7 linked regions of the Oryctolagus cuniculus genome follow. The protein of the gene in region 1 purifies or fractionates together with the protein of each later gene. This does not show direct contact. Links are inferred from orthologs where the notes say so. Each region holds a gene or a part of one and is shown in the gene's direction. Other genes may lie near its edges. The genes, in order: CHD3, RBBP7, BCL11B, ZNF219, SMARCB1, HDAC2 and ZNF512B.

What was found.
Region 2: the proteins of CHD3 (region 1) and RBBP7 purify together in Homo sapiens (affinity purification with mass spectrometry; 6 studies listed by BioGRID and IntAct, counting the BioPlex papers as one, with this or other methods). This does not show direct contact. The link is inferred for Oryctolagus cuniculus from reciprocal best matches to the Homo sapiens genes CHD3 and RBBP7.
Region 3: the proteins of CHD3 (region 1) and BCL11B purify together in Homo sapiens (affinity purification with mass spectrometry; 3 studies listed by BioGRID and IntAct, with this or other methods). This does not show direct contact. The link is inferred for Oryctolagus cuniculus from reciprocal best matches to the Homo sapiens genes CHD3 and BCL11B.
Region 4: the proteins of CHD3 (region 1) and ZNF219 purify together in Homo sapiens (affinity purification with mass spectrometry; 3 studies listed by BioGRID and IntAct, counting the BioPlex papers as one, with this or other methods). This does not show direct contact. The link is inferred for Oryctolagus cuniculus from reciprocal best matches to the Homo sapiens genes CHD3 and ZNF219.
Region 5: the proteins of CHD3 (region 1) and SMARCB1 purify together in Homo sapiens (affinity purification with mass spectrometry; 3 studies listed by BioGRID, with this or other methods). This does not show direct contact. The link is inferred for Oryctolagus cuniculus from reciprocal best matches to the Homo sapiens genes CHD3 and SMARCB1.
Region 6: the proteins of CHD3 (region 1) and HDAC2 purify together in Homo sapiens (affinity purification with mass spectrometry; 12 studies listed by BioGRID and IntAct, with this or other methods). This does not show direct contact. The link is inferred for Oryctolagus cuniculus from reciprocal best matches to the Homo sapiens genes CHD3 and HDAC2.
Region 7: the proteins of CHD3 (region 1) and ZNF512B purify together in Homo sapiens (affinity purification with mass spectrometry; 3 studies listed by BioGRID and IntAct, with this or other methods). This does not show direct contact. The link is inferred for Oryctolagus cuniculus from reciprocal best matches to the Homo sapiens genes CHD3 and ZNF512B.

The regions. Positions count from the first base shown.
Region 1 is NC_091448.1:52,449,511-52,453,010, forward strand, and holds part of CHD3 (chromodomain-helicase-DNA-binding protein 3), read left to right. Parts: intron 1-132; coding exon 133-277; intron 278-445; coding exon 446-608; intron 609-704; coding exon 705-826; intron 827-924; coding exon 925-1,060; intron 1,061-1,172; coding exon 1,173-1,274; intron 1,275-1,455; coding exon 1,456-1,584; intron 1,585-1,944; coding exon 1,945-2,053; intron 2,054-2,242; coding exon 2,243-2,375; intron 2,376-2,689; coding exon 2,690-2,885; coding exon of another isoform or gene 2,886-2,931; intron 2,932-3,500.
Region 2 is NC_091453.1:3,004,356-3,007,595, reverse strand, and holds the end of RBBP7 (histone-binding protein RBBP7), read left to right. Parts: intron 1-1,215; coding exon 1,216-1,326; intron 1,327-2,278; coding exon 2,279-2,347; 3' UTR 2,348-2,740; downstream 2,741-3,240. UniProt on the Homo sapiens protein: Core histone-binding subunit that may target chromatin remodeling factors, histone acetyltransferases and histone deacetylases to their histone substrates in a manner that is regulated by nucleosomal DNA.
Region 3 is NC_091451.1:43,161,912-43,165,848, reverse strand, and holds the start of BCL11B (B-cell lymphoma/leukemia 11B), read left to right. Parts: upstream 1-1,137; 5' UTR 1,138-2,193; coding exon 2,194-2,251; intron 2,252-3,937. UniProt on the Homo sapiens protein: Key regulator of both differentiation and survival of T-lymphocytes during thymocyte development in mammals.
Region 4 is NC_091443.1:53,795,178-53,799,211, forward strand, and holds the start of ZNF219 (zinc finger protein 219), read left to right. Parts: upstream 1-1,234; 5' UTR 1,235-1,374; exon of another isoform or gene 1,375-2,632; coding exon of another isoform or gene 2,633-2,713; intron 2,714-3,051; coding exon of another isoform or gene 3,052-3,201; intron 3,202-3,320; coding exon of another isoform or gene 3,321-3,431; intron 3,432-3,717; coding exon of another isoform or gene 3,718-3,774; intron 3,775-3,870; coding exon of another isoform or gene 3,871-3,981; intron 3,982-4,034. Other genes in the region: TMEM253 (transmembrane protein 253), read right to left, coding at 2,633-2,713, 3,052-3,201, 3,321-3,431, 3,718-3,774, 3,871-3,981. UniProt on the Homo sapiens protein: Transcriptional regulator. Recognizes and binds 2 copies of the core DNA sequence motif 5'-GGGGG-3'. Binds to the HMGN1 promoter and may repress HMGN1 expression. Regulates SNCA expression in primary cortical neurons.
Region 5 is NC_091452.1:30,724,269-30,728,423, forward strand, and holds the start of SMARCB1 (SWI/SNF-related matrix-associated actin-dependent regulator of chromatin subfamily B member 1), read left to right. Parts: upstream 1-1,355; 5' UTR 1,356-1,571; coding exon 1,572-1,664; intron 1,665-4,155.
Region 6 is NC_091436.1:57,442,399-57,445,898, forward strand, and holds part of HDAC2 (histone deacetylase 2), read left to right. Parts: intron 1-699; coding exon 700-855; intron 856-2,718; coding exon 2,719-2,776; intron 2,777-3,500. UniProt on the Homo sapiens protein: Histone deacetylase that catalyzes the deacetylation of lysine residues on the N-terminal part of the core histones (H2A, H2B, H3 and H4).
Region 7 is NC_091442.1:212,969-215,402, forward strand, and holds part of ZNF512B (zinc finger protein 512B), read left to right. Parts: intron 1-37; coding exon 38-109; intron 110-193; coding exon 194-337; intron 338-428; coding exon 429-553; intron 554-632; coding exon 633-725; intron 726-802; coding exon 803-901; intron 902-976; coding exon 977-1,147; intron 1,148-1,250; coding exon 1,251-1,445; intron 1,446-1,637; coding exon 1,638-1,739; intron 1,740-2,055; coding exon 2,056-2,118; intron 2,119-2,312; coding exon 2,313-2,411; intron 2,412-2,434. UniProt on the Homo sapiens protein: Involved in transcriptional regulation by repressing gene expression. Associates with the nucleosome remodeling and histone deacetylase (NuRD) complex, which promotes transcriptional repression by histone deacetylation and nucleosome remodeling.

The DNA.
Region 1 (3,500 bases):
CTGAGAGTGGCAAGGGGGAGAGGCCCAGGGGAGGAACCTGGGGGCACCTGAGTTCAGTAATTCCTGTGCCTCCCTCACTGCCCTGTACCCCTTCTGAGGCTCCCTAACCCCCTCCCACCCCCATGCTCCTAGGGCCTATGTGTCTCTGTTCATGCGCCATCTGTGTGAGCCTGGGGCAGACGGCTCAGAGACCTTCGCTGATGGAGTCCCCCGGGAGGGACTGAGTCGCCAGCAGGTGCTGACCCGCATCGGAGTCATGTCTCTCGTGAAGAAGAAGGTATCAGTCTTCCCGTCGCCCAAAGCGTCAGCTGGCCCCTTGGCCCTGTCTTTCCTCTGTCTTCCATTCTTGGGTTGTGCAGTCACACTAGGGCAAGACACGGGCTAGGAGCTTCCCGAGTGTCCGGTGCCTCGAGCTGACCTCTGGCCCATGACGCCCACCCACCAGGTGCAGGAGTTTGAGCACATCAACGGGCGCTGGTCAATGCCAGAGCTGATGCCTGATCCCAGCGCCGACTCCAAGCGCTCCTCCCGAGCCTCCTCTCCGACCAAAACGTCTCCTACCACTCCCGAGGCTTCTGCCACCAACAGTCCCTGCACCTCCAAGCCTGGTAACCAGGGGCAGGGAGGGCGGGGCAGACAGAGGTGGGGTCAGGAGTCTGGGTCGGGGAACGGCTGCCTTGCTCACTCCGCCTTCCCCTCTGCAGCTACTCCAGCTCCAAGCGAGAAAGGAGAAGGCATAAGGACGCCTCTTGAGAAAGATGAAGCTGGAAGCCAAGAGGAGAAGCCAGAGAAGAACAGCAGACTTGGGGAGAAGATGGAGACAGAGGTGTGTGGCTGCCCGGCTCCCCTGAGGACAGGGCCTGTAGGGTCCCGGGGGCTGGAGCCTGGGAGCGCCCAGCTCATCCTGACTCCATTGTCCTCTAGGCTGAGGCTCCCAGCCCTGCCCCCTCTCTTGGGGAGCGGCTGGAGCCAAGGAGGATTCCCTTAGAGGATGAGATCCCAGGGGCGCCTGGAGAGATGGAGCCCGAATCTGGGTTCCGAGGGGACAGAGAGAAGTCAGGTGAGTGCCGGGCCTGAGGGATGATGGGGCCTTAGAACCTGGGGATCCCCTCTCCCAGGGCCAGGGGATGAGGGTGACGGCCTCCCTTCCTATCCCCTGCCCCCTCCCACAGCCACAGAGTCGACGCCAGGAGAAAGGGGGGAGGAGAAGCCGCTGGATGGACAGGAACACAGGGAGAGGCCGGAGAGGGAAACAGGGGATTTGGGCAAGAGAGGTAATGAGTGGAAGGACTGGACACCCGGGGCCCGGAGGGAATCAGGGGAGGTGGAGTCTGGGGTTGCAAATGCCTGGGTCCTGGGTGGGCCACTGTTCCAGTGGCCAGTACAGTGCCAGTGGTAGTCTGGGACGTGGGAGGAGACCGTCCTGAGGGGTGAGCCTTGCCCTGTCTGTCGCAGCAGAAGATGCAAAAGGTGACCGGGAGCTTCGACCTGGGCCCCGGGATGAGCCACGGTCCAGTGGGCGCCGCGAGGAGAAGGCAGAGAAGCCCCGGTTCATGTTCAATATCGCAGACGGTGGCTTCACAGGTACAGGAAGTTCTTGGCCCTGTCTGCGCCTCACTGGGAGTTGCTCGTGGCGGGGGAGGGGAGGGAATTCTCATTGTGCCTGAGCCTTCTGCTCGAGTGACTGCAACGAGGTGGTGCGTGCTGACGCTGGCCCCTGCTCTGCATCGTCCTTCGGTCACCTCCCAACTGCATCTCTAATCCCACCCTCACTCTTCAACCGAACTTGAATCCTGCTCCTGACTTCATTCCTCACCTAGCCTCTACCTGGTCTACGGCGCCCTTAGTGTCCCACTGTCGCTGTCTTCCCACCTGTACTTGTCTGTCGGACGCGATGTGGTTTGCAGCCCCCGATGCCCGTTCTGTCTGCTGTCTTCTCTTCAGAGCTTCATACGCTGTGGCAGAACGAGGAGCGGGCAGCTATTTCTTCCGGGAAACTCAACGAGATCTGGCACCGAAGACATGACTATTGGCTTCTGGCCGGGATTGTCCTGTATCCTTCGATACAAATACAGGAAGAGAAAGGTCCTCTTAGGGAGAGGGGAGCCATGGAGAAGACAGAGTTCACGTTGAGAGCAGGGGCGTTCGTGCCAGACTTTGGGGAGATCAGACCAAAGGGAGGAGGTTTTCGCAGGCACGTCCCTGTTAAATTCCTTGACGGTTCCCTCCCCTTCATTGGCAGCCATGGCTACGCACGGTGGCAGGACATCCAGAATGATGCTCAGTTTGCCATTATCAATGAGCCATTTAAAACTGAGGCCAATAAGGGGAACTTTCTGGAGATGAAAAACAAATTCCTGGCCCGGAGGTTCAAGGTGGGAATGAGGGAGGAATGGAACAGAGTGCAGGAGGGCCCGGGTCGGGCTGGGAGTGGGCAGGTCTGGTGGAGCCCTGGGAAGGTGCACACCTCCGAGGCTGAGACCAAGGCGGAGCTTCGTGTTTGGGGCTGCGGTCCGGATCAGGGTTGATGCTGGGGTCACAGTGTGGAGCCGGGGGCGGGGGGGGGGGGCAGTGCCCTGGGCCTGCAGTGAGGACCCAGTGGGTCTCCAGTGCTGTGGGGTCTTCCGTTGTCTCACCCACTGCTGGCAGAGCCCGCGTTCACCCCCAGCCCCAACCCCTGTGTCCTCAGCTCCTGGAGCAGGCGCTGGTGATAGAGGAGCAGCTGCGGCGGGCGGCCTACCTGAACCTGTCGCAGGAGCCGGCGCACCCCGCCATGGCCCTCCACGCCCGCTTCGCCGAGGCCGAGTGCCTGGCCGAGAGCCACCAGCACCTCTCCAAGGAGTCTCTGGCGGGGAACAAGCCGGCCAACGCCGTCCTGCACAAGGGTAAGGGCCGCGGCGGCCCCGCGCGGGGGAGGGCCCACAACGCTGCGTAAGTCTTCACCCCGCACCCCTCAAAATCTCCCCACCCCTCTGAACCCTTTACCCTCTGAACCACCCCCCCACCCCTAACCCCCACCCCTAGCCCACTTGGCACTCGCTTGGTTTGTAGCCTCTAAGATGAGCCGAGCCTCATCCATGCCTGAGAGCATTCACATCAGTGCCCAGTAGAGGGACCCCTACCCCGAGAGTCCCTGCCCACGCCACACAGTGGGACCTCCTCACTGGCCACTGGCGGTGGAGCTGCACGCCTGCCACCCTGCTCTGACCGCCCCATTGGGAGTCTTGGCTGTGTGCATGCCACGGAAAGTCTCAGCTGCAACCCTGCAGATCACATTGGCTCATGAGGCAGAATCTACCACCCACCCACCCCTCTGCCCCGCCCCCACGGAACTTCCCTGTGACCCTCAACCCTGCCTTCCACACCCTCCTACCTCGTTAATGATAGATTCCATCCCAGAGCCCTGTAACCATCTAATCCTGCCTGGCGGAGGGACTGACTCCTGGCCCCTGTGACCCTCATAATTCTTTGAATCTGTACTTACTGATCCTCTAACCTCC
Region 2 (3,240 bases), on another chromosome or scaffold:
TTCCAAAGAATCCGTTTTGTGAAGCAGCACTTCATAGTTTTTAAGTATTTTCTAGGAAAGGCATCGCTCCCAGCTATTTTTGTCCTGCTATTTTCACTTATTTTAGTGACAGCTTTGAGTTATAATTCACATACCATACAATTCACTTACTTATACAATTCAGTGTTTTTTAGTATATTCAGAGTTGTACAACCATTTCCACAAGTCAGTTCTAGAACATTTTTTGTTCCTTCAAAGGGAAACTGCCTAATACTCACCTCCTGATCTTCCCATGGCTCCCAGCCACCATCCGTCTTTGTCTCTAAGATTGGGCTATTGTAGGCATTTCATATAATGGACTCATAAAATATGCGTTCCTTGTGACTGATTCTTTAACTTTAGCGTGATGTTTTCAAGGTTTCCAGCTTTTTTTTTATATATATAGCAGAGACGGCAAAGTTTATTACTTTGTACATCATGGCTTTGCAACCGTTTCCTGGAGGTCCTTGAAAATCCTCTAGGACTTTGTTCTTTTCACACACACACAAACCCTGAAATCGGGACATTTGAGTAAACTGTATACTATCATGTCAATATGACAGTGTCTTGCTCTGGTGACCCATATTTTGAGCCATATTTTTACTTGTATACCCCATAAGTGTTTTTGAGAAACTGTTATACCCTCAATTTGTAAACTGATAGAATACTAGCTAAAATAGTTACATCGCATGTAGACTAATTGACAGAGACCTCATTGTCTAAGCAGTCAAAGCAGACTTTGTCAGAAAGTGTGCCTTTTGTATTGTCCTTGACAAGAGCTGTTGCTCTGAATCTTAATGCAAAGATAAGATACAGGGCCTTCCTGTGAGGTTCTCTTGTGGGAAAGCAGACGCTACCCCTTCAGCAAAGCTCTCTGCTTAGGCCTCCATGGGAAACCCTGGAGATATGCTTTTACAGCCCCAGGGGTTGAGGTTTTTTTCTTAACTTGGGACAATGTACCTTTGGAAAGACTGGGGGAGGGTATGAGGTCTGCATTTCTTTTAGTAAAGGTAGAGACCCAGGAGACTCCTTAGGCCTATGTGGGACAGATTGAGCCTGTTGCTGCCTTCCCTCTCAATTTTGTGACAGTTGTTCTCGCCACCCCCAAAAATGATACTCTCAAAACTAAAATTTTTAGCTATTTGGAATAATAGAAGATGACATGAAACCAGGACCCTTTTTTGTTCTTATTAACAGTTTATTCATGGAGGACACACTGCCAAGATCTCAGATTTTAGTTGGAACCCCAATGAGCCTTGGGTCATCTGCTCCGTGTCTGAGGATAACATCATGCAGATATGGCAAATGGTGAGCGGAAATGTTTTTTCACAACTGTCTCATAAAGGAGATTTGCTAGTGATATAAAAGATGCACATTCTACAAAACCAGTGTTGAAACATTGCAAAAGAATATTTTCCATATTAACACAATCTTTAGTTCGATACTGGTACTTTCTTGATCTGCAGTTTGTAGCACCTGTTGGGTTGGGAGAAATGTCTGTAATGTCTCTATATGAGCACGCTGGTTGCAGATGCAGCACCTGCTCTGATTGTTGTGCTCTTCATCCAAGGCTGGCTGGATACCTTTGTCTCCAGGGCCTGTGCTCTGTCATAGGTGTGGAGACAAAAGGGGAACATCAAGATGTTCAAGTCATGCTGAGTTCTTTGAGCACTTGACCAAGTCTTTCATAAATAACATGGCCATAGCTCCCTCTAAATGATGCTTGAAGGACTTTTGGAAAACACTTTTTTTTTGACAGGCAGGTTTAGACAGAGAAAGGTCTTCCTTTTTTCCGTTGGTTCACTCCCCAAATGGCCACTATGGCCGGCGCACTGCGCTGATCCGATGGCAGGAGCCAGGTGCTTCCTCCTGGTCTCCCATGGGGGTGCAGGGCCCAAGCACTTGGGCCATCCTCCACTGCTTTCCCGGGCCACAGCAGAGAGCTGGATGGGAAGAGGAGCAACCGGGACAGAATCTGGTGCCCCGACCGGGACTAGAACCTGGTGTGCTGGCGCCGCAGGTGGAGGATTAGCCAAGTGAGCCGCTGCGCCGGCCAAAAACACTTCAATGAACAGTGATCACAGGATGGCTAGGCATGTAAGTGGAATTACATATTGCAGACTACAAAATCTTTAAAATGTGTCCATGTTTAATTTCCAACACTGAAATACATTGATCAGTGAACTAAATTTTGTTGGTGATTTTGTAAAGACATTGTGGAAGAGTTTTACCTGTGACTTTATTTGGTTGTTATCTCCAGGCCGAAAATATTTACAATGACGAAGAGTCAGAAGTCACAACATCGGAACTGGAGGGACAAGGATCTTAAACCCAAAGTATGAGAAGTTTTCTGTTGAATGTAATGGTAACATGAAAGAATGCTTGATTATCAAGCACCAAAAAGGCATTGTATAGTAAGAATTGTTAAGTGGGATGGCTTATGGCGTTCTTCACCCTCTGATTCTAGCACTTTCAAGTGAGCTATTGCGTACTGTATCATATTGTAGCTGTTAGGGAAGAAAAGAATGTTGCGTAAGAAAGAACATCACCATTGTTTTAAGATCCTAAGTAGCAGGGTACTACTGCCTTGGGTTCAACTGTTTAAGTCCTCATTTTCTCAAACTAAGTGCTTGCTGTTCCCAAATATGCAACAATAACTTTTACACTTTTTCCTTCCAACACTTTCTTGATTGGCTTTGCAGAAATAAAGTTTTAAAATAAACTTTGTTTCATTCTTTTAAAAGGTCAGGGTGAGTGCTCACGCATTTTTGAGCAGAAAGGACAATGGGTACCTATGGACTTCCTACACAGTTGAGGTCACATGAACAACAAAAGAATACACAGAAACTGTCAAATTTATCATACATATTTACTTAATCTATACAGAATTGAGTAGATAAAATCAGATTCACATTAGTGAAAAATCTCTACAAAATGTTTTTGAAAAGCAAAACAAGACTGCCTCTTAACAATTCGTATCCTCATGAAAGACGTGGGCTGTAAAAATAAAGCAGTGTGTTTAGCACAAACTAGAAGATAATCTGCATCATTTTTTTCACAGTTATTTCCATCTACAGTCTGAAAGAGGTAGATTTTTCTGCAACACCTGAGAGTTGAATTGTGATAACCAGGTGTAATAAAGGCAGTTGCATACATAACTAAAAAACAATGGTCTTAAGACCAAGAAATGTACTCCTACAAGTCCGAGGATGAAGGAGGTGG
Region 3 (3,937 bases), on another chromosome or scaffold:
CGGCCTCGCCACTGGCTCGGGAGAAGCCTGCCGAGCGGGCCCAGGCGCGGGGTGCGCGCGCGGGGGCGGGGGCCAGGGCCTGCCCGCCGAGCCCAGCCCGGGCCAGGCCCTGGCGCGCCCTGGCCGCGACCAGAGGAGCCCTGGGAAGGGCCGGGGGTCCAGCCGCGTGGCGCGCCCAGCCCTGGAGGCCGGGTCATCCAGCGGACGAAGTTGGCCGCCGCCGGGGGAAGGGCGCGGACGGGGCTGCCCACGGGGACTTCGGGCCGCGCACCGCCCCCCACAACTCCGCCGGGCCTCGCCCGCTGCGGATCAAACAGCTGCCGTGGCTGACCGGCGATTTCAAGTCCTCGGGGCCCGCCGAGCCGCGCGTGGGGGGTGGCCTCCAGGGTGCCGGGAGTCACCCCCAGCCGAGGAGCTGCGGCCACACCTCTGCCTGGGCCGGCGGGTCCGAGTTCCCGTCCCACGTGGAGCGCCCCCAGCTCTGCTCGGACCTCAGCGATAGGAGTGGGGCCGCGTGTGACCCCTGGGAGTCGCTGGGATGAGAGGTGGCAGGGCCAAAATTTGGGAGGAAATCCCTCCCAAAAAGGGCCTCGGAGCGAGGTCCCGGGTACCCCTCCCTCTCATTCACTCTGTGCACCTCGCTCTCCCACGGGGCCCACACCGGGGCTCCCGAAGAGGCACTTTTTGGGAAGTTTAACCCCAGGTTCCCCACTCCGGCCCCCCAATAAAACAAAAGTAAAAGCAGCCCGGCCACTTTTCCGGGGGCCCAAGCCGCTGAGCCCCCGGCCTCATGTGGCCGCCTCGCCCCCCACCCCCAGCTCCCCGAAAGCTTCTGGGCGGGCGGGTGGTACCGGCCGGCATTCTCTCACTTAGCCGCGCCCCCTTCCCGGGGGTCCTGGCCCCGGGAGAGGAGGGGGTGCTGGGGATTTTTGGGGAAAGCGTCGCCCCCCCCCGGCCCCCGCCCCCCGCCGTCCTCGCGCAGCCGGTGCCGGGGGAGCCGGGAGCGCAGCGGCCCGCGCTCGGCACGTGTGGCCGGCGGGCGGCGGGGCTGCGCGCGGGCGAGCGCGCGCCTGTGTGTGCGGCTTGTTCTCTTGCAGGGTACAATGTTAAAAAGCCACCGCTAGTCGCCCCCAGTGCTCCGACGCGCTGGGTCTTTTTGTCTCTAGTGCAGATTAAACGTCACGTCCGCACTTGAACTTGAATTTTATCCCATTGTACAGAGGCAGCCCCAGCCATAGAGAGACCGAGAGCTCCCGGAGAACCCGGACTCCGCCATCTTCACGTTGCAATCTATAAGCTCCCAGTCCGCGCCCGCACCGACCCAGGCGCCCTGGGCGAGCCGCCCTCAGCCCCGCTGCCCCTGGGCCCGCGGCGCCGGGGCAGCGCCGGGCAGCGCTCGCGGGGACCCGGCAGCCGCTCCGGCCGGCGCCCGCCTGCCAGGTGGACTGGGAGGAGCCGCTCCCGGAGTCCCCCGGAGCCGCGGCAGGGTCAGTCTCCGAGCAGAGCGCGGGCGGCCCGCACGCAGCCCAGACGCGGCCGAGCCGGGGCAGTGCTACCTCGCCGTGCGTTTTTGGAGGGGGCGGGGTGAGAGGGGGACGCGACAAGTCCCCAAGTTTGCTTGGCCTTTTTCTTTCTTTTATTTATTTTTTTTTCATTTGTTTGCATTTTTTTTTTCTCCTTTGCCCCTTTCCTGGTAGAAGTGCGCTCTCCATCTACCAGACCCCGAAAGAAAAGTGTCAGGAGCCGGTGCAGAAACCCCGTTCAAGTTCTCCAAGACGCTGGAAGTCCAGGTGGCCAAGCAGTTTGAAGAAGTCTAGGAGATTTTTTTTTCCTTCGGAAGAAGATATTTTTAAAGAAACCGGCCAGCGCGCGGCAAGCAGCAGCAGCAGTGGTTTTTGTTTTTGTTTTTTTTTTTTTCTTTCTCCTTTTTTAGATCGGGAGGTTTTTGGTTTTTTTTTTTTTTCCTTCTTTTTCTTCTCTTTTTCTTTTTGCAAACAAAACAAAAAAGAGCCTAGAAGACAGAGCAAAATAAAGAAGAAGAGGAGGAGGAAGAGAGGGCAGCAGAGGAAGGGGAAAAAAAACACCAACCCAGGCCGAGGAGGAGGCGCGGCGGCGGCGGCGGCGGCGGCTCGGACCCCACCCGGCCCCCATCGGTGCGGCTCTGCGGGCGATGCCGGAATAGGTGCCGGGGCAATGTCCCGCCGTAAACAGGGCAACCCGCAGCACTTGTCCCAGAGGGAGCTCATCACTCGTAAGTGTCTGCGGCGTGCGCGCCAGGGGCCCGGGGCTGGGGACACCGAGCCGGGCGCAGCCGGGCCGGGCCGGCCGCGAGCGCGGTGGGGAGGGCGGGGCGCCGCGGCAAAGTTTCTCCGCAGCCGGACGCGCCTCGGGCTCGGGGGCCTGCGGGGCCGGCGGCGGGCCGGGGCGGGCGCGCGCGGGCTGCAGGAGGCGTGTGTGCGCGCCGAGCCCGGCTGGACGGTCGCCCCTCCGAGCGGCGTGTGTGGCGCCGGCGCTGGTGGCGGGGCTGGGAGCGGAGGGGGAGGGGGCTGGGGGAGCGGAGGGGGAGGGGGCAGCCGGGAAGTGGGGAAAAGTTGGCGAGCGCGTGGGTCCGCGCTGACGGTGCGGGCGGAGGAGCGCGGGGCGCGCCGCGGGCGAGGGGCGGCCGCCGGCTGCGGGTCCCCGGTTGCCGCGCCCGGCCCGGCCCGGCCGGGCGCCGCCGGCCACGCCGGTCGCAGGAGTCTGCAGCCGCCTCTCTCTCTCTCTCTCTCTCTCCCCTCCTCTGCTGTTGGCAAAAGAATCCAGCTGCGCGGCTGCTAGCCGGGCGCCAGCGCCCCCTCCCCACCTCCGCCTGTCTCCTGGGATGATCTTGTCTGTTTTTCCCCTCTCCTAAAAAAAAAAGGTGGGGGGATTGGAGTTGGTGAAAAACCCGCGCTACACAGTGTGTGGGGGGGAAGGTTGTCAGGAGTGGGGAGAGACGGATGCGCTTGTAAAATAGCAAAAAAAAAAAAAAAAAAAAAAAGAGAGAGAGAGAGAGAGAGAGACCCCCGCCCCCCGCCAGTGTCTGCCCGTCTTCCCCATCCGAGCACGCGAGGCAGGGAGCCGTGCAGACGCGCCGGCTGGGGCCGATGGCTTTCCTGCGCGTGGCGGGGCGCGCACAGTCAGGCCGCTTCGCGCGCCGCGCGGGGTCCGTTCAGGAACCGGCGGAGCGAGCGCGGGCGGCCGGGCTGAGCGCAGGGGCGCCCGCCCGGGCCCCGCCAAGGGCGCCTCGCTCCGCCGCTCCGCCGCCGCGCGCCGAGCTCTCCCGCGTCCGCTCCCGCGCCGCGCCAGGGTCGCCGCGGCTCTCTGTTTTTGTTTTTTAAATTGCAATAGGAATCAAACGCCCTCCGGTGCCCCGCAGCCCGCCGTGCACCGCCCCGGGCTGGGGCCGGGCTGCCCGCGCGCGCCTCCGGCCGCCGCGGAAGAAGGCAGCCGCGCGGCCGAGGGCCGAATATTTATGTTACATTTTAAAAAATTTAAATAAATAAATAAATATATCCAGGGGTTCTCCCCTCCTCTGAAATCCCAGCACAGGAGCCATCTGCTCGGAGCAATTGCGGTGGCTGCTGTCTCCTTTGTTACACCCGATACGTTCGTAAGACTCTGGGAATTAATTATTGCTAATATTTTGGGAGGCGGAGTAGATGCTAGGACGGGGCTTGCCTTCCGAGAGGGATGCCGCCTTGCAGGGAAGACTGGCTTTCTTTTTTATTTTTCTTTCTTTTTTTCCCCCACCGGGCAGACATCAAAGACTCACTGGTTGCCTGCAAAACAAAATGTTTTGCAACCGACTTGAGCCTCCCGCGATCCAGGTCCCTTGCCCCAGCCGACAGGCCATTCCTTTACGGAAGCCCCCTCCCCCGGCAGGGGGTGGCTGTTCGGCCTCTGTACTGGTAGATGC
Region 4 (4,034 bases), on another chromosome or scaffold:
CAACTTTTAAAAATACCATCATTGAATGTGTGCTCTGTAGTTTGCCACAGTTCTCATTGCTCCCTATTACTGCATACCCAATCTGCTTCTCTCATTTAAACCACTCCCTACCTCTATAGGCAATTTATTTTCAAACCCTGAAGTGCCTTATGGGTTGAAAGTAGTTTTCCATACGTGATTTTATTTTAGTTTTGAAGTTTTGATACTCCTGTGAGATAAAGGATAAAATTTATGGTTTCAACCTCCATGTGAAAAAAATGTAGTTCAGATACCTGACTTGCCCAAGCAACAGAATCAGAATCTAAATTTTTTTACCTCCCTGTCCAATGATTTTTTGAGGAAAATTTCTATTATGAACTTCACTTGGGAGATCATGGAACCAAAGAACTAGATACAGGCCTAAAAATTTAAACAGAAGCATTCCAACTGTTATGGTGCTCAAGATAGACCACGAATGATGAACCCTTTTTCATTTAATACATTTCTGCCTCTTCTGCTCTCTCTATGCATACCAAAATTGCCCTTATTTCCTTGAAGTTGAGTGTGGCTATTTGACTTGCTTTGGCCAGTGAACTGTGAGTAAAAGTGATGTGTCCCTTTAGGGGACAAGCACTTAAGAACCTAAGAACAATTCTTCATGCGTGCTTCACAGTTGGGGGGTGCAGCCCTAAGCTTCATGGTGATATGATAGGAACTCAAAATGGCGGCCCTCCATCAGCTTGGGTACCTGAGCCTGCTTTGAACAGAAAGTGTGAGAAACAGACCTTTGTGGTCTTAAGCCACTGAGGTTTTAGCATTGTTACCATGGCAGGCATCACCTAGGGTAATCTGAGACAAGGTTCATCTGCATGATCTTTGAGCTTCTCAAAGAACTAGAATACAACATTTAGACTTCTGATCACATCCTGAAAAGCTGGGAGATAAGGAAAACTGTTGATTCCACCCCCACTCCCCGTTACTCCCCGTCCAGCGGCTTCCCCGTCTACCATCAGTTTTTGACTTCCAGGAAGATTTCTTTCTCAGAGCCCCTCATCCAGGAGCTCTCCATTAGGCGGCAGTTACAGGGGGAGGCCCGTCTCCGGTTTCCTCCATTCCAGAGCCTGATCCCCAAACTGTCCCCACCCACTAGTCCTCACACCTAACCTTGTCATAGGGCGACTATTACCCCTCCCAAGGTGTCACAAACAAAAAGAAGCTGCAGCTGGCGCCACTGCAGTATCCAGGCAGGGCAGCCAGGCTGCGCTCTATCCTCACTGCTGCTTGGGCTTGGCTGAGCCGGGAGAAGCAGCATTCTCTAGGGACTGAAGCCTTCTCAAGTGGGATCAAAAATGAGTGTGAGGAGAATACTCATCCCGGGCTCTGTGTGAATTTGGGGTGAGTTCTCTTAGTTCTCCAGCTCCGGTTACTTTCTAGTTTCTAGCGGCTAGTGAGCTGCCCGGCTAGTGCTACTGGGACTCCTAAGTCTTCCCGGGCTTTTCCCAAGCCCACCGAGCTTGCCATCTTTGCACACTTGCAAAAGCCGTAAACGGCGGGGCTTAGCGCAACCAGAGATCCAGCAACCCGACCGCGGCCAGGATCAAAGGTCAGCGGGGCGGCCAAGAGGCCGAGCCTGCGCAGTCCCGCTCCCGCCTTGGAAAGAAAGGGTGGCGACAACGCGGGCTTGGTACACCGGCATGCTCGCAAGAGGCGGGAAAGCTGTAGGTCGGACCGCCGCGTCCCTCTTTGCTTGCCGGGTCCACCAGCCTGCCTAGCGAGTCTGGCCTCGGGCACTCAGGCCCCGGGGACGTGGGGCGAGAGAAAGGCCGCGCGCTTCTGACTCATCAATCTCCAACCCCCTTCTCGCGCGCGCTCCAAGTCTCAGGACTTTGGACCTGGGCACTCTTTCGTGGGGGCGCGGCGACAGCATCTGGGGAACCCCAGCTTTGCCAAGCGCCAGCCCCCAGCCCTCACCGGCTCCGATGCAGTCTGTGGGAGGGATATGGACCCAGAGTCTGCTCTCAGTTGCCCTGGCTAGGGTAGCGGCATCCCGGAGCAGGACGGCCCGCCCGGCTCCACCCCGCACGCAGGCCAGTGGTCGCGTCCGAGACAACTCTCGGCTAGGCCTCGACTTGAGCGCCTCGCGTCACTCAGCAGATGCACAGCGCCCCAGCGGCGGAGGGCAGGCTCTTCATTTCCCAGCAGGCCGCAGGGCAGCGGGGCATGCTGGGATGTGTAGTCTCCAGCGAGTAGACAGCAACTGGATCGAAGGCTGGAAGGCAGCTCCCTGAATTGGATTCAAGAGTTGGCGTGTGCGAGAACTGGGGCTTGGAGTGCAGGGGATTGTGAGAGCTGGACAGAAGAGCACAGCGAGATGAGGCAGTTGTGAAGGTGTATGGGCGGGCAGAGGGGAAGGCTGGACGCAGCTTTTAGGGTGGCGAGACCAGGGAGGCTGTGGTCCAGGTGTGTCTTCTAGCGAGGCAGGGGAAAAAGGGGAGGCTTGCTTTGAGTGAGAGTCGAAGGCACCGCCTGGGACTTCATGCCAGTGTCGAGGGAGGCCGGCTAGCTTCTGAGTTTGCTGGGGTGGGACACTGGAGCGTCTGGAGAGCCTCCTCGGGGTGGGGGAGACGCACCTGTCTGCTTCCGCTTGTCCGGCTCACTCGCTTGTCCTGGTTCCTGTGCTGGCCCCCGTGGAACCGTTGTCCAAACTAGGAACGTCCTCCAACTCGGAGAGGCCCTGAGATCCAAAGAAGCAGATTGTAGGAGTGAGAAAGAAGCCCTAGAAGCAGCTTCGTTCTAACCCATTTCCACCACCCTGAGCTTGCTCTTCCAGTACCTTACTTGGGCAGCTTCCTAATGCTCTCCCACCCTTCTAGCCCCAACCATTTAGATACCCAGTTCCCTCTTAGCCACCATTACAGGGGAAATGGCCAACGCCAGAAAGCCAATCAGTTTTAAGTCTAGGATTATTTTCACTTCCTTTTGACCCGTTGTTTTTCCTTCAGCATCGTGGATCAGGGTAGACTGAAAATACTGGCTGGCAGCTGACTGTCCTGTCCTCCCAGCCCCCAGTACCTCGTGCAGCTCCTCGTAGCGCAGACTCCGGCTCCTGCAGCAGCAGCCTGGCTTCCTCTGGCTCAGCAGGAAGAGGGCATATGCCGAGGCCAGCACTCCCCCTAGGGTGAATGCCTCAGCGCTGAGCTGCACCACCAGCAAGCCAGCCAGCTGTGGGGAGATGGGGCGGAGGATGCTGCAGGGACCCAGCACCTCTTTGCTTTGCCCTTTCTGCCCTCCATCTCTTTTTGCTCCCTCCTTCTCCCACCTTCCCCTTCATGCACTTGTACCTGGGAGGGGGCAGGTAGGGCAGGCCCCAAGGCTGTCTTCAACACCTCGACCACCACCACAATGAAGCCCAAGATCAGGTTGAAAATGTTGAATATCATCATGGTGCGCACCTGCCAGACACTCAGCTCAGCCTTGGCCAGCCTGGGGGGCTTATTCCAACATCAAGTCCCACCTGCAGCCTTGCTGAAAATAAAACCCAAATCCTGCTTCTCCACCTCCAACTAGGGTCATCATCCTGTACCTTTCTTGTGCTCCCTCATTAGTCTTTTAGGCCAGTGACAGATAGACAGATGAGAGGATTAGTCATCTCTTAGAGGACCACGTACTTCCTGTATGGAGCGGGTTCTGTGTGTGTGTGTGGGGGGGGGTGGACAGGAGTGCAGTCTCTTCTCTCACCTTCCAGAGGCGGGGTGCTCTTCGAAGCTCAAGGGTGACAGCCCCAGTGAGAAGACCCTGAATGGTGAGATGGGCAAGTGTGTACCTCTGATCTCATTAGGGTGCGGCCCCAGGATCTTCCTCCCTTCCACCCTCCCTTGCGGTGGGTCTTACTGAGACTCCAGGCCCGAGTGGCAGTGCTGTGGTCATGTGACAAGCAGAGTTCAGGCAGGCGACTGAGACAGCCAAGGGCACCACAGCTATGGCCAGCCATAGCTGGCTGACCTGGGGGCCAACACAGGGTGGTTGAGGGAGCACTGTCAGGAATTCCTCTCCCT
Region 5 (4,155 bases), on another chromosome or scaffold:
TGTGTGTACAGCATGTACAAAGCCTTTTCTTTCTTCCTTTTTTACTGAGTGTTATTAAACATGGTTGTTTTCTACCTGCCTGCCTGGTCTCTCTTTGTGCAGCCAGGGTTGGGAGGCCTGGCTCAGGGTCCCCTCCTGTGCCATTCCTCCACCACGTCTCTCGTCAGACCCTTGCAATGGTTTCTTAACTGGTTCCCTGTTCCCTGCCCAGTTCACCCTGGAGTGCTGGTCATTTGATCTGATCGTGCCATGCCCCAGCCCCGATCCTGAAACGCTTTGGCTTCCCACTGTTGCGAGGCCTGGGAATAGAACTCAGGGCTCCGGGGCCCTTCCTAACTGCAGCACCAACTTGCATCCTAGTCTCACCTACCTCTGCTCCATAACTGTGCCTGCCTATCAGAGCTGCCATTTTATTAGACTGAACCGTACGACACTGTCAGTAGCAGGCTTGTCTTTTTAATTTTTAAGATTTATTTGAAAGTCAGACAGAGATCTTCCATCTACTGGTCCACTTCCCCCAAATGCCCAGGGCAGCCGAGGCTGGGCAGGGCTGAGGCCAGGAACTCCATCTAGCTCTCCCATATCCCAGGGTGTGCATTAGCAAGAAGTTGGAGTCAGCAGAGCCAGGATTCGAGCCCAAGTGCTCTGATATGGGATGCGGGTATCCCATAGGGTGTCTTACCCACTGCGCCAAACACTTACTCCATTAGTGGGCTACTTTGAATCCACTGCATTGTTCCACCGGATACACGGATTGCTTTGCTGTTTGCCTTAGTACAGGAGCCCGCCGGCTCTGGGCTGTGCGTGCCACAGGGCAGCAGCACAGGGTTGGACTTGCAGACACCCAAGTGCAGACTTAAGGGAAGCAGGGAGAAGGTGTTCCTTGCACAGCCTTCTGAAGTGCCAGCCAAAGCAAACAGCACCTGGGCCTTTGAATACCGCCAAGCCTCAGAGTTTTTTTTTGCTGGTGCCAGTCCCACCCAGTGTTGTCATTCCGCCCGTTCCCAAAGCCGCAGGGACAGCTGTGAGCCTGGAGCTGGGATGGGCCGCTGCGGTCTGAGGTGGGATGTGGCGGTGCCAAGCCGGGAGCACGGCCGCCACGCCATTCAGACTTGCAGATGTCGCTCTGTCCTCCGGCCCGACATCAAGCCTCACTTCATGTCTCCTCTCCTGGGCTCAATTCCAGCCCTGGCCGTGAGACTGGGAAAGTCACTGCCTGAGTCAAGGCCATCGTGGCTATTTCTGTCCGTGAGAACATTTCGATTTGGGAAGTTGCCTGGGAGGCAGAGGAAACGGGTCGTGGCTCCTTTAAGGGGCCCGCGGGAGCGCGCCCGGCCTTTTGTCTGGGCGGCGGCGTGCGCGTCGGCGTCAACGCCCGCGCAGGCGCACTGAGGGCGGCCTGGTCGTCGACGGCGGCGGCGTCTGAGGAGCCCGGTGGTGGCGCGAGCGCCCGCCCAGCCCGCCCTTTGCTTCTTGGCCTCGGTTCCCCTCAGCTTTGGCGCGCCCGGGCCCCGCCCCAGCCCTCCCGATTCCCCGCAGCCCGGCTCCGGCCTCCCTCTTCCGCCGCCGCGATGATGATGATGGCGCTGAGCAAGACCTTCGGGCAGAAGCCCGTCAAGTTCCAGCTGGAGGACGACGGCGAGTTCTACATGATCGGCTCCGAGGTAGCCCGCGGCGAAGGCGTCTCCTCGCCCTCCCCGACCCCGCGGGCGCCCCGGGGCGGGCCTGGGCGCCGGGAGCGCGCGCACCCCCCCATTCATTGCCGCGGGCGGGCTGGCGGGCGCGTGCGCGCGGGGGGCGTGGTCGGGGGGCGGGGCCCTCCTCAGCTCCCTGCAGCCGGGGCTTCGGGCGCAGGGAATCTGGGTGTCCTGCGGCACCCGAGGGGCTGTGGGAGCCTCACGCGCGCCCCCTCCACCCATTGCTAGGGTCGCCAACCAGGGACTGAGTGAGGGGCCCAGTCCCGCTTTGTGTCCGCAGCCCGTGAAGCTGGGGCGGGGGAGACGGTTTTGTGACCCCTGTTTTAAGGATGTTTGCTTTTGCATGGAGAAGACCCCCGCCCCGCCCCGGGCCGGGGGCCTCCTGGGCTGGGTCCTAAAGCAGTTTTGAAAGCCTCACTTGACGCTTTGCGGAGAGGTGAACTGAGGCTGAGTTTTCGCAGGGGCAGAGCGAGCGAGCCCAGGGGGCCGCCATGGTCTTACAGAAGCCACAGCAGTCTGGGTGGTGGGATCTGCGTGGAGCGTTTATCCACGTTTCTAAAGCCCGCGCTGTGGTGGAGGACCCCGTAACGCCTGCCTGGCGTTGGACAATCACAGGTGTCGGTAGCATCAGGACTTCAGCCTTTTTTCTTTGTCACCGGTTTTATAAAGCACAAAGGGCAAAGACACTGCATTTTTCATGCTGTCGCTTAGATGCTGCTGTCCCAAGACGGCTGTGCTGGGGGAGTGGAACCAGTGGCTGTGGAGCCACCGGGGCTCGGGAGAGCCTCCCTGGTTTGTAGGCGCCTGCCTGCACGCGGGATGGAAAAGGCAGTGGGGAGTTCAGGTAGAGGATGTCGGGGAGGTTGTGTTACCTGATTTAATGAGTGCACAAGGAGGCAGTTTGGCCTTGATTCTGAGTGGATGGTACTTTTTCTTTCTTTTTTAAAGATTTATTTATTTATTTGAAAGGCAGAGTTACACACAGAGGGAGAGACAGAGAAAGAGAGAGAGAAGTGCATCCACTGGTTTGCTCCCTAAATGACCACAATGGCAGGGCTGGGTCAGGAGCCTGGCACTCCATCTGGGTCTCCCTCATGGGTGGCAGGGGCCCAAGCACTGTGGCCATCTTTCACTAGTTTCCCAGACGGTATTAGGGAGCTTGATAGGACGTAGAGCAGCCTGGATTTGACCAAGAGCTTATATTGGGGCATTGAGGGTGGCAGCTTAATTTAGCCACATAGCACTGTCTTGATGATATGGGGTAAGACAGGTTGATGGATCAGGGCTATACCTCTCCTGCCCTGTGTGATCCTATCTGCCTACCTGTCAGTCAAATAACCCCTTTCCCAAGATATATCTCCCTTTATCTGGAACCTGGAGACAGTACCATGTAACCACTCCCCTTTCTTCTTTGTTGTCATCGTCGTCTTACTATTTTTATAAAAATCAGCTACCGAGCAAGAGAGAGAGAGAGATCTTCTATCCATTAGTTCACTCCCCAGATGGCTGTAAGAGCCAGGGCTTAGCCAGGAGCCAGGAGCTTCTTCCAGGTCTCCCGTGTGGGTACAGGGGCCCAAGCACCTGAGCCATCTTTGGCTGCTTTTCCCAGGCCTCAGCAGAGAGCTGGATCAGAAGTGGAGCAGCCAGTTCACGACCCTGCACTCCTATGGGATGCAAGCCCTGACCAGTACACTGTCTAACCTCCTAAGAGTCTAGAAAGGGGGAGCTCGCTCGCTCGCTCATTGTCTGTCTCTGTAGAGGAGCATGAGATAAGGAGCTGAGGCACCGTTCTGTACCTCCCTCCCCTCCTGACCCACTCTGTTCCTGAGCAGTGCCCAAGTATGTGTATGTTTTCCTTACCCTTTCAATAAACCTTATCACTTTGTGCGTTGTATTTGTGCCTCTACTTAGTATGCTTCTCCAGGTAAAAGGCAAGGACTTGGAATAGGGATTTAGACCCCACCTTGCCCACGACATTGATACCCAATAGCTCCTGGCGCAGTGTGGAAGGGGTGACCCAGTTCCTTTCCCTTGGGAGACAAGCAGTGCATTCAGAGAGGTGGGCTGGCCACAGCAACACACCCAGTGCCTCCCTGTGTCATCCATGGAGCTGCCTCGGGAGAAACCCGCAGGTGCCGTGCGTGCCTCCCTTCCCCCAGCATCTGCAAGCAGCAGTTTCCACCAGGCCAGGCTCACAGAGCTGAGAGGACCCTAAGGGATCCCTAGGTCCAGCATCTTCATTTTACATTTGGGAAACCTGGGTCCAAGGAGACTACAGCTGGGCCAGGGAAAAGCCAGGCCAAGGGCGCCCCAGGGCCCTATGCGCTGAGGGGGCCTTGGGTGTCCCGGAGTTCTGCAGCCCCTAGGCAGTGACCAGGGCACTGTTGTCAATTTCTTTCTTTCTTCTTCTTCTTTTTTTCCTTCTATTTTTATTTACTTGAAAGACAGAGAGGGATCT
Region 6 (3,500 bases), on another chromosome or scaffold:
ATGGGATGCTGGTGCTTCAGTCCAGGGCGTTAACCCTCTGCGCCACAGTGCCGGCCCCTGCTTTTTCCATTTTTAATCTTATGCATATTTGTCTTTGTGGTGCTTCATAGTCTAATTTGCATGTACAATTTCAGTTTAAATAACTATACATGTAAGATATAAAATTTCCAAAAACTATCCACTTATGTATATTCAGGAATAAATTGGGAAAACATGCCATTTGCTCAAATTAGAATGTGTAAAATAGTAAGCACTTGCTGTTTGATTTTATAGTCTTTGATTACACTTAATATGATTATAGATTTATATCATAATGGTACAGAGATTGTATTTCACATTAATGGTACTATTTTTTATTTTGTCTCCTTTTCCTCAGAACCCTGAAGTAAAAGGCCACCTTTTAGGTATAAAGATGTTATTCCCACTTGCTCTAAGAGAAGCATACTTTTTTCCTCCAAACTTTTACCTTTTAGAAAATCAAAAGATCCCCAAATGTCTCTTTAACTGTTTTATAAACCACAGCTAAGTTTTCGGTATTAGAGCAAACCATTCATTTTGTTCCAATCTTAAAATTATTAAGCATCTGTTATCCTATACTTTGAAATGTGGTAACTGATGAGTACATTTGCATGAGTGTGCTGTAATGATTTTAAAGCTTGTGACTTTTCCTCAAAGCTTGTTAAAATCTTACGTTAACAGTTCGAGCATCAGACAAGCGGATAGCTTGTGATGAAGAATTCTCAGATTCTGAAGATGAAGGAGAAGGAGGTCGTAGGAATGTATCTGATCATAAAAAAGGAGCAAAGAAAGCAAGAATTGAAGAAGACAAGAAAGAAACAGAGGACAAAAAAGCAGGTCAGATTTAATTTTTTGGTGAATGTGTTCTGATTTAAAAATTTTTTTAATTGAGAACTACATTGAAATATAAAAATTTCCTGAAGTCATCTACTGTAAGTATTACAGAGAGGTGAGTATGCTAGGTAAATGCTATTTTTTCCTCCATATAAAGTTTGGCTTTTAAATATCTTTGATTGAAATCTTTGCAAGTTCCTACTTACATTTGATTTTATAATATAGGAAACCTTATTCTCTTGATGATAAAGGCTTAAATAGTTAGAGTTAAGAGAGAGGGTAAGTTATAAATCTGTAGTCTACGAGAGAGCTGAAATTCTAAGATAATTTTTAACTACCTAAAGTTTATGTAGATGAAATCAACCTTTACTTAATACTAGTTTTATCATTTTTAATAAGGCCAGATAATAGACTTTGTTCAGAAATTGAGGAAAACACAAAGCTCTCAGAAAAGATTAAAAATATACTGCTTTCTATTACCTTTCTATCTTTGAAGATTGTCAGCTCTAGGCAATTGAATTTGCCACCAGAATCTGTGATCGTTTGTCTGTATTTATATGTCTCCATGCCAGCTGGCTAGGGAATACAGCATCTTAAATACCTGTTTTCAGCACTTGGTATGTTTCTTTATGCAAGTAACAGTGATGAGCAAAAATCTTAGTTGACCTGTTTTGATATGAAAGCAGAGATAGTAGTAGTCCAGTAAACTGGCTCTTTCTCTTCTCTAGTGTTAGGAATCCATATCAAAGCTGATACTTCTAATTCTGTTCTTTGGTCATCAGGCTTCGTGATTCTTAAAATTTCTCAGCCTATAGAAAAAAGAAAACTTTTAGGAAAAAACTATGGGTCGAGGCCATAGAGCCATTTCTTTTTCATGTTTCCCTCTCCCATCCTGTTTTGGCACTTTGAGTTCACATAGCCAAAATTAAACAACAAATGCCATAAAATCCATATTGTCAACATGGGTGTTCATATTATAGGACTAGACTCTTGCAATGTGTAGAATACTTAAGAATATTTAAAAACTTTAAAAAAAATTGCTTTTGCAGTCTTCAGATTGTAGTGTTAACTTCTGTTGAAAAGTTTTAAACTTTTCAGTATTTATTTAGTGAGGGTTAGAAAATAAAGGTATGAGGCAGACACTGTCGCAGTGGGTTAAGCTGCTGCTGGGGATGCCTGCATCCTGTGTCTGAGTGCCAGATTTGACTTCTGACTGCTGTTGCTTATTCTAGCTTCCTGCCGAGTTGCATAGGATGACAGCAGATGACTGTCAGGTGATGATCCCTGCCACCCACATGAGAGAGTTCCTGATACCTGTCTATGGCCTGGCCCATCCCTAGCTGTTGTGGGAATTTGGGGAGCAAACTAGCAACAGGTGGAAGATATCTCTGCCTCTCTCTATGCCTTTCAAATACATAAATAAGTAAATCTTAAAAAAAGAAGAAAACAAAACTAAAGGTGGCAGCAGCCTCTGGTTGTGTCATCTACTCTCCATTTCTCATAGTGCTCTAGCCGCAGTAGGGTTTCTCCTTCCATCCTGCCAATTTCTTCTTAGCTCAGAGTCCTTAAAACTTTGGAGTTTTTTTCTTCGTCTATTCAAGATGTTTCTCTTCCCTTTTTATCTACCAAAACTACATTCATCAGGACAGCTTCAGATGTCACATCTGTGGTAGCCGTTCCTCACCTGCCACAGTGCTGCATTTTCCTTTGAAGTCCCTATCCTCGCTGTGATAAGGCTCAAAAAGGGCAGTGACTGTTAGGTTAAAGCTTAAACATCTACCATTTAGTATAATACCTGAAATAAAACTTATATACTGAATTATATTTCAAAATAGATTTTGATCTTTTCCTAATCTTTGTTTCTAGATGTTAAGGAAGAAGATAAATCCAAGGATAGCAGTGGTGAAAAAACAGATACCAAAGGGTAAATGATATTCCTTATCAATTAATTGTTATATATTAAAAAATATATTTCCTTGGGGTGTGTTTCTTTATTGGTATCTGTACTGAGAAGTACTTAACTAAATCTGAGAACATTGTCTGAGATATTCTAAATTTCAGTCTGTCTTAATGCATGAGACTTGTGCCATCTTACTCATTGGTTTTTGTCATTGGTTTACTACTCATCTGTTAAGTAGCTTGCTTTTAAAAACTACATAGAATTACTGCATATTGTAATTAGATAATAAATCAGTTTGAAACTCTTTCTTTAAATGTGCGCTCATGGTTTTCATGGTGTTTTGTTTTGTTTTGTTTTGTTTTGTTTTTGACAGGCAGAGTGGACAGTGAGAAAGAGAGACAGAGAGAAAGGTCTTCCTTTGCCGTTGGTTCACCCTCCAATGGCCACTGTGGCCAGCGCGCTGCAGCCAGCGTGCTGTGGCCGGCTCACCGCACTGATCTGAAGCCAGGAGCCAGGTGCTTCTCCTGGTTTCCCATGGGGTGCAGGGCCCAAGCACTTGGGCCATCCTCCACTGCACTCCCTGGCCACAGCAGAGAGCTGGCCTAGAAGAGGGGCAACTGGGACAGAATCTGGTGCCCTGACTGCCCAGGACTAGAACCCTGTGTGCCGGCGCCTCAAGGCGGAGGATTAGCCTAGTGAGCCGCGGCGCCGGCCTCATGGTGCGCTTATTTCTGTATTTTAGTGTTAT
Region 7 (2,434 bases), on another chromosome or scaffold:
CAGTTTGACCAGAATCTCCACCCCCTCCCCGAGTCAGGAAGGAAGCAGAAGACGCCCAAGAAGTTCACGGGGGAGCAGCCGTCCATCTCGGGGACCTTCGGGCTCAAAGGTGAGACCCCAGCCAGCCAGGCCCCTCGGGCACGCGCTGGGCCCTCAGCAACACACCCCCACGCCCCTGTTGCTGTGCCCGTAGGCCTGGCCAAAGCCGAGGACAAGGCCCGCACTCACCGCTCCAAGAAGCAGGAGGGAGGCCCCGAGGACCCGCGGAGGAAGGTGCCCACCCCTCCCACCGCAGTCAGCAAGGAGGCTCCGGCCCCTGTGGCCCACTCAGCCCCAGGTGGGGTCTCTGGCGGGCTGGGGGGTGGGGGCACACCGTGTGGCCTTGGATTCCCTACCTGGAGTCCCTGAGTGCCCGGCCCTGCCTCTAGGTGGCGCTGAGGAGCAGTGGCAGCGCGCCATCCACGAGCGGGGGGCCGTAGTCTGCCCCACCTGCGGCGTGGTCGCCCGGAAGACCCTGGCAGGGCTCAAGCGGCACATGGAGGTGTGCCAGAAGGTGAGGGCCACGTGCTCAGGGGTGGGGTGGGGGTGGGGCCCCGTGGGGCCAGGCTGCTCACCCCTCCCCCCCCCCGCAGCTACAGGATGCGCTCAAGTGCCAGCACTGCCACAAGCAGTTCAAGTCCAAGGCAGGCCTCAACTACCACAGCATGGCCGAGCACAGCGCCAAGGTACCACCCCGCAGTCCCCAGTCCCGGGGCCGGGCCGGGCCCAGGGCCGACGGCTCTGAGGCTGGCCCTGTCCTCAGCCCTCCGACGCCGACGCCTCTGAGGGGGGTGAGCAGGAGGAACGGGAGCGGCTGCGCAAGGTGCTGAAGCAGATGGGGCGGCTGCGCTGCCCCCGAGAGGTCAGTGTGCCCCAGTGGTCAGCCCGGGGCACGGGGCTGCCCGGGCGCCCAGCTGATGTCTGCCCCCAACCCCAGGGCTGTGGGGCCGCCTTCTCCAGCCTCATGGGCTACCAGTACCACCAGCGGCGCTGTGGGAAGCCGCCCTGCGAGGTGGACAGCCCCTCCTTCCCCTGCGCCCACTGTGGCAAGACCTACCGCTCCAAGGCTGGCCACGACTACCACGTGCGCTCGGAGCACGCGGCCCCGGTGAGTGGCCCTCACGTGCCCCCGGCAGCCTGCACTTCATGCTGACCCTGACTCTGACCCCTGTCTTTCGCTGTCCTGCCCCATGGCTCACCTGGCGCTGCAGCCCCCCGAAGAGCCCACGGACAAGCCCTCTGAGGCCGAGGACCTGCTGGGTGTGGAACGGACCCCGAGCGGCCGCATCCGCCGCACCTCGGCCCAGGTGGCAGTGTTCCACCTGCAGGAGATCGCAGAGGACGAGCTGGCCCGAGACTGGACCAAGCGGCGCATGAAAGATGACCTGGTTCCCGAGACAGCACGGGTGAGTGAGCCGCTGGCCGCAGGCTCCAACCCCTGCCTCCGCGGATGAGCCGCTGGCCTGGTGCCGTGCGCTGGGACCCCTGTCCCCGCGGATGAGCCGCTGGCCTGGTGCTGTGGCTCTCATGACCCCTGAGAGTCTTCGGAGACTGTGCCTGTGGTAAGGGCGTGGCTCACCTGGCCCCCGACTTCACAGCTCAACTACACGCGCCCGGGCCTGCCCACGCTGAACCCACAGCTGCTGGAGGCGTGGAAGAGCCAAGTGAAGGAGCAAGGCCACGTCAGCTGCCCCAATGATGTGAGCGGGGCGGCCGGCAGGGGGCGTGGGGAGGCCGAGGGGGGTGCTGAGCCCGGGGTGACCGTCTGGGTAGGAACAGAGGCCAAGACCTGCCAGGAGGGGCCTGTCCTTAGCCACCAATCCACCCCGACCACGGGCCCCTGCAGGGTGCTCAGATGGAGACCCCTGTGGGCAGAGGAGGCCGGGACCTCCCACCCTGTGCCCAGCCTGCTCTCCGCCCAGAGCTCACAGGGTCCAGAAGCCCCTGCACTTGCCCTAGAGAGGCCCCGGGCTCCCCTGGCCTGAGGCCCTCCCCCACGCTGCCTCCTGCCCGCAGTGCTGCGAAGCCATCTACTCCAGCGTGTCCGGCCTCAAGGCCCACCTCGCCAGCTGCGGCAAGGTCAGTGTTGGGGCTCCCTGTGGCCACTCCCAGCTTGGGCCCACCGGGGAGCCCGGTGCAGGAGCTGGACGGCCAGGCCTGAGGGCTGGCAGCTCCTCCCTCCCGGCCCCTCCCAGCATGCACTGCCACCACTCCCCTCTGGCTGCCCCCCTTCCGTGGGGGAGGGCTGGGGACTGCACGCAGGTGTGTTGCAGGGGGACCACCTGGTGGGGAAGTACCACTGCCTGCTGTGTCCCAAGGAGTTCAGCAGCGAGAGCGGCGTCAAGTACCACATCCTCAAGACGCACGCGGAGGTGCGAGGGCAGCAGCTGGGCTG